Coturnix japonica: one gene and its partner. Each later gene encodes a partner of the first gene's protein in a complex. Links are inferred from orthologs where the notes say so. Each region holds a gene or a part of one and is shown in the gene's direction. Other genes may lie near its edges.

Evidence for each region.
Region 2: the proteins of INTU (region 1) and WDPCP are in contact, whole or in part, in a cryo-EM structure (PDB 7Q3E), measured with the Mus musculus proteins. The link is inferred for Coturnix japonica from reciprocal best matches to the Homo sapiens genes INTU and WDPCP. Residues at the interface, in NP_780724.3 of Mus musculus: Val481, Gln484, Val488, Asp491, Ser495, Asp496, Glu498, Ala499, Ala500, Asp501, Ser506, Glu507, Asp508, Arg513, Arg514, Thr517, Ser532, His533, Leu534, Pro535, His574, Tyr593, Glu610, Gly613, Cys614, Ala615, Ser616, Lys617, Ser653, Pro654; in NP_663400.2 of Mus musculus: Phe3, Cys4, Leu5, Ile24, Leu51, Ser54, Arg55, Asp56, Lys93, Leu385, Ala386, Glu387, Asp388, Tyr389, Ile427, Lys446, Leu447, Gly448, Ile449, Leu450, Thr451, Arg452, Gly453, Leu455, Leu462, Gln463, Ile465, His466, Tyr467, Gln487.

Annotation. Positions count from the first base shown.
Region 1 is NC_029519.1:30,260,566-30,262,857, forward strand, and holds part of INTU (protein inturned), read left to right. Parts: coding exon 1-168; intron 169-2,129; coding exon 2,130-2,284; intron 2,285-2,292. UniProt on the Homo sapiens protein: Plays a key role in ciliogenesis and embryonic development.
Region 2 is NC_029518.1:1,963,561-1,967,834, forward strand, and holds the start of WDPCP (WD repeat-containing and planar cell polarity effector protein fritz homolog), read left to right. Parts: upstream 1-1,474; 5' UTR 1,475-1,672; coding exon 1,673-1,753; intron 1,754-1,759; exon of another isoform or gene 1,760-2,096; intron 2,097-2,265; coding exon 2,266-2,354; intron 2,355-4,274. Other genes in the region: MDH1 (malate dehydrogenase, cytoplasmic), read right to left, coding at 1,298-1,423. UniProt on the Homo sapiens protein: Probable effector of the planar cell polarity signaling pathway which regulates the septin cytoskeleton in both ciliogenesis and collective cell movements.

The DNA of each region.
Region 1 (2,292 bases):
ACCCTGTTCCACTATCTGTCTTTGGAAACAATGCATGGGATCTTTATAACCCCAACTCACAAGGAAGTCGCACGGCTCGGGGGCTCCATCCACCCTCAGTTAATTGAGAATTTCCATCGCTGCTGTCTGTCAATTCGTTCAGTTTTTCAGCAGTGCATGATGAAAGATGTAAGCTTTGTCTTCAGTTTTTCTCTCTATTTACATTCTCAATTTATTATTTCAATATTGTTTTCAGTTTTTTGTTTAAAAAGTTCACTGGCAGGCAGTTCTTTATGTTGTTGTTTAAAAGCACTGGACTCCTTTACTGCTATAGGTAGATTTTCTCTCTAAACATCCAACCATGTATGTGTATAACTACAGTTCAACCTGCCATGCCCTCAGAATAAATACTTGGTGAATTCAGTATGGTATTTTATTTTTCTGTTTGATTTTAGAGCTCTGTAACTCAGCACAAAATTCTCACACATTGGGTTGAAGTATAGGAAGTAGCAAGAGAAGGCTGTTGGATTCTTTTAGTCATATTAATCCTATAAGGAAATTTCAGACTGTAGGAAAAAGTAAATGGATGCCCTCTCTTTGCACAGAAAATGGTTGATATGAGCAGTGCCAGTGCTCCCCTTGCTGCCCTGACAGCGTGTCTGAGCACTGACCTGAAGAGAGCCTCTCTGAAGCTGAGGGAATGTTTGTTCTCAGCGCCTTTGTTCTCTGGGCTACCTGAGATTGCTTATACATTTGCCACCCACCAATGTCTCTGATAGTTTTCTCACACTGATATCTGTTTAGAACCTGGCTGGTTATAATGATCAATTCTTTTTAATTATGTTACCAAATAATCTCTTGGATTTCAGATTATGTGGGATGGCACAACAAGTGAGTTTTTTTCTCTTTAGAAAAAGTTTAAGCCTTGCTTGAACTCAAGACTGTACACGAGTCAGATTTTCTTAGATCCTTAAGTGATGGTCCAAGTGCATTAAATGAGAAATGCGAAAGAACAGTACAAATTGAATGAATGCCATTTGCAAGTATCAGTATTATTTTTCTCTGTGTTTTCTTGAAGTTACTGAAGAAGTTCTTTTTGGTTAGACTGATGTACCTCATAAATATTTCTTTTCTTTCTTCTTCTTTAAGTGTTAGGAAAAGCAGGTTAATTTGGAGGATTATTCTGTTAACGACATAAGATTCTGAGGTTTGGCTGAATAAGACATTGACAGTGGGTCTTCTGTTCTGGGCACTTTGGCAGGAGATCTGGAAACCCGAAAGCAAGCAGAGAGAATACACAAATATTTCCTCTGATCAAATTGCCTTTGGTTAAGTTTGTAGTTCAAACTAAAGATACCTGAGTAAACAAACCATTCAACTACTAAGTGTAGTTTGTAAAAAGTGAAGAATGTCTACTTAAAAGTGATAACTTCTGTTTTGGCAACAGCTGTATCCGCACATGGTTTTCTGGGTTTTTCAGGTGCGTGTCTTTATCATAAGCAGCAGCTGGGTTCATTGTGCCCTGAAAGTCAAAAATAATTGAACATGTGCTGCAGAACAAAGTTTCTTTTAGAGGAAAATCTGAGAAACCTATGGAAGCCAGCTTGTTAACTAAGAGTATTTTGACCACAGAAATCCAGGGTGGTTTTTCTTAGTTGGCTTCAACAGTTGATGCTGTAATTGCCGGGTTGTATTAGGGCATAAGGAGAATGTAAAAGAATGAATAGAACTTCTTTTGTGTTCATAGAACTCGACAAAAAGAAAAATAAAAGGCAAAAAATGTGCTATTGTACTGTTAATTCAAAGGAAGAGATGGGAGCTGTAGCTTTTTTAGCATACTTTGTTGTTAATGAAGCTGTTTTATCTCAGATGTCTTATTAAAGAGAATGCGGTTTGGATAGACCAAAAAAAAGCAAAAGAAGGGGGGCGCTTCTAAATGGTGTAACAGTATTAAAAATCCTGTTGATACTGAAGTAACAAAACTGAAGAAAAGAATCTCCTAAGCAAAATAGTTCTATCTTCTGTCTGGCTTATTGACAGCAATGTCATTCAGCAGCTTCCTGAAGGACGCATGCTAAAATTACATGTACTGACGTTTACATTAAAAAAATATATCTATCTGTACCAACACTTCCTCAACTGTTTTACAGAAAAAGAAGAAAGCGGGCAGTAAGATCTCAGAATTTAACAGTACGGATGAAGACTTAGGTCCTGTAAGAGAACATGGAGTTTTGTTTGAGTGCTCTCCCAAGAACTGGAATGATCAGAAGAAACCACCACCGACAATGAGTTACTGGGTTGTGGGGTGAGTTT
Region 2 (4,274 bases), on another chromosome or scaffold:
CTACATGGCAAAACAGATCAGGAAGTTACGAAGTTTAGTTAAAGAGTGATGTTAACCCATTATCTACCAGATGTAGGAATAAGAAAAATCTGTTGTCTGCTTACACAAGTGATGACCTTTGGATTACTAATTAAAGTTATAAAAGACCAGAATAAGCATTATTGCAGCTAAACTCGGCTGTTTGCCAAGTTGCCATCTTTGTTATTCTTGACCAACCAAGCAATCCCACCATGCCTGAGAATACTTAGTAGACAGCCTAACTAGATGCAGTGCCCTCAGAAGCTTGGAGCCTATGAATTAAGGCCAGGCTGGATGTGGCTCTGGGCAGCCTGGTCTGCTGGTTGGTGACCCTGCACACAGTAGGGGGTTGAAACTGGCTGATCATTGTGGTCCTTTTCAACCTAAGCCATTCTGTGATCCTATGAAACCCTCCCCTTGCTCCTCCAAAGGAACAGGGAGGCACTGACAGCAGATGTATCTGGGAACGTGGCAGACAGCATCAGCAGGAGGGGCAGAACTCCAAGGGGATTCTTTCCTTCAGCAGTGACCTTCAGGCTGGTGCCCCTGTTAACTTTTTCCATGTCATCCAGCTAACTGCAGTTGCATCAATAGACACAAGATTCTGTTTCAGAAGTTTAATGCTAATAGCAAATACATAGACAGAATGCTGGGGGGGGGGGGGATTGTAAGCAATGATGTTCCAATGAGTCTGAGCATTCAAGTACAGCTTTAAAGCAGCAGATCCATGGCAAGCAGTTTGGAAAGCTCACATGCGAAATGAAGTGCTCTGTTTTGTGGTGGCTCTTGAGAGTCCACGTCTCGAATAGAAACGAGAGTTGAGAAGCAGAATTGATGAGGTTTGGGGTGTTTTTTTTTTTTTTTTTTTTTTTTTTTGAAAAGCGTTGGAAAAAGTCATTTTTGGGGCACAGAAACACTTTTAATGCATATAGAAAAGTACTGGAAGTAAAGATTTGAGTAGCAGAGCGCGGAGGCCGCCTGTTACAGAGACAAGCGAGGGGTGCGAGCGGTGACCCCAACGACCTGGCCGCCCTTATAGCGAGCAGAGGTGCCGCCCCGCCCCGGCCCTGCGCCGTTTCTCCCTCAGGTCTCAGGCAGAGCCGCACGACGGGCCTGGACCCCAGCAAGGTCACCCCGCTGCCCCAGCGCCTTTATACGGCCCCAGGTACGGCGGGAAGGGCTCCGCCGCCATTTCGAGATCGCCTCCGACCGACGGAGCCCCGAGCACCGGCCCCTCCCCAGCCACCTCCCGCAGCCCCGAGCGTTGAACGGTACCGACCATGGCTGGGAGCGGCGGGCCGAGCTGCTGCCTCGAGGTCACCTCTACGGCTCGACTGCAACCGCCGCCGGCGTAGCGCTGAGGTACCGTGCAGGGGGCGGGGCGCGGCGCGGCGCGCAGCTGCATGGGAACTGTAGTTGCGAGTCACCCCGCCATGCGTTGTTGAGGGGGGCGGCCGAACTACAAGTCCCAGAGTGCCTCGGGGCACGCACGCTATTGGCGCCGTTGTCCGGCCGATTCATTGAACGCGTTCGCCTATAGAGCCGCCAGGGGGCGGTGAGCGGCTCTGCGATCTGCGCATGCGCTCCTGGAAGGCGGTTAGGCCTGGTGTTTTGCTTGCGCATGCGTTGAGCTCGAGAGCCGCGGGCCGTGCGCATGCGCGCCAGGGGAGCAGGCAGCAGCGGCTGGAGGGGAAGGAAGGACGGGACATCGCGCGTGGCTGCTGCGCGTGCGCAGGTAGCGGCGCTTCGGCCCCCGCCATGCCGCCCTGTGCTGCGGCCTTTGGGCGCTGCTCGGCACGCTGCTCGGGCCCGCCATCCCCGTCCTGCTCTCTGTGCTGCTGACACGCTACTCTGGTTGTGCCAGAACTCAGAGCCGGCCTGTGCTGTTGTGGGGCTGAGCTCTGTCAGCCCGAGCCTGCAGCCAGCTGCTGCCATAGCCACAGCAGGGTTGTTTCCTTCCTCAGGCCGGGACGAGGTTCTCACAGAACAAACCCTGTAATTGCACTCAGCCTGTAGGCTCACGTGCCCTGACATCTTTCAGCAGGATTAGTTGTTAATCCTGTTTTAGCCCCTTACAGGTGATTGTTTTAACACCTTGGGCAGCACGTAGACTGACTTATATTAGTCCTCAGAAATCAGTTACTCCTTTGGGGCAGTGATGTTAAGCGTAAACGTGAGCACACAGCACACAACGTGTTTGCAGTGTTTGCAGCCTTGTTGCTAATCGTCCTCATGCCACAATTCCAGGCTTCCCGTGCTTTGATCGAGACCGACCCTCTGACAGCTCTTGAAGTAGCTCCTGAAGCACTGAAAACAGCAGTCTCAGGGTTGAACAGGTATCGTTGTGCTGAGTTTGTTTTCAGTCTCATACTGCTCAATGCTGATCTGTACTGCTTAACAGCCATACACTCGTGCTGTGAATGCACATTGGACCTAAGTTTTAGGTCTCGGGTTCAATTTCAAAGCTAAATAGCCATGAATGAAAGCAGAGTCTGCCTTGTTGTGAGAGGTGCCTCATCAGTGCCAGGAAGCATGATGTCCAGACAGACCGTTCCAGAATATCCTTTACACCAGTAACTCTGACCTTTTTTGCATCCATGCATCATACAGACTTAATGAAGGTTATTTAAGATCTGTGTTTACCCAGGAGCTGATGTGGGCCCACGTGAGATGATTTTCACTAAGCATTATCAGTTGTCTTGGAGTTGATTGCATATCGGTTTTCAGTGAAATCAATATAAGCGTGTTATAAACTGATTTGTCTGCCAGCATAGCAGGTTATATTGGTTAAATGTATTTCAGTTAAGCTAGTTGCTGTTTCTTCTGTAGGTAAAGCTCTGTTTTCATTCTCCATCCTTTTCTGCCCAAGCTTGTGCTCCTTGGTTTACTGCTGGAGATAACATACCTAATATTGAAACTGATCTGTAATGAGTGTTTGTCAGTTTGTTTTAAATATGCTCCTGGTGTAATTAGTGACAGATAGAATAACACTGTTTTAAGTCTGCCCTGCCTTTTGTGATGTTTTAACTGAAGACAGCATTGAGGTTTTTCAAGTCAGCAAAACTTCATAACTCTGCAGTTCTTTTTTTTATTGGCTTAAATGGTGTTTCTCTTTGTTAGAGTATTTTTTGTCTTCCAAGCAAAATGTAACTGTACGAAACTAAACAAGGGAAATGAGAGATGCTTTCTTTTCTCCATCTCTTTTTTTTACATCTCTTTTCTGATGTTTATTAGCTTTTAAAATATATCTTCTGCTTCTGAGTGGAAACTCTTCTGGTGTTCTTGGCAGCATGTGCTGGTCCTCAGTTGTATTCCTCATGCTGTTAAATCATGTCACTGTTTTCAGATAGCTGGTGCTGCAGGGATCTATGAACAACATGCACTGTTTGAGTTTCTGCATTCTCAATCTGTGCTCTCTTTTGTCCTCAAGACGTGTGCTGTATTTGTTATATTTGCTGACATATTTGCTTTCACGCCTTCTCAGAGTAACAGAGAAATTCTTTCTAAATTTAATGCTGTTTTTCTTGTCAATTTTTTTTTCACAGTCTTCAGATTTCCTTGTGGGATTTTTCTTTATTGTCTCAGAATATTCTTGCTGCTTTTACATCTCCTGTTGCCATTATTTCCGAGACAGTGAGATGTTGGTGTCATTTTCTAACATTCTTTAGTGCACCTCACGTGTTTTATTAGTGTATGTCTTTTGTGTAGGGCTGTAAGCCAAAGAGCTGCAGAAGTGGAAACAAATTAAGTGCAAAAGAAGTAATGAACCTTCAGTGTGCAATGCAGATCAGGCATTCAGCTAGTTGTTGAAATGCAATTTACAGATGTTGCACTCAGTAGAAACAAGTAACATAGAAATTGTTGTAATTAAACAACACAATTAATACTCAAGCTGTTTTGATCTCTGTCTTGTGATGATTAAGTATTACTTTTCAAGGCATCTAGTAGTTCAATAGCCTACTCTACCAGAATAATTCCCGTTTTCTGTTGTTGAGGGGTTTTTTTCTCCTAAATTCTAAGTTAAAATGAATGATTCTCTTAATAGTTGGCAGTGTTCTGTAACTATACTTTGGATCAGCTTTTCTTCACTGCTATCTATAGAAATTGCTGAATTATTTTTGGTAAGATTTTACACCCAATTTCCAATGATTTGTGGAGGTAATACAGTTTTTCTAACGCTTGCTTACAGAAAATGTATCTAAAGCAAAAGTAATTCTTGAAATATTTAAGAACTTGTAAAAAAAAAAATAAAAATT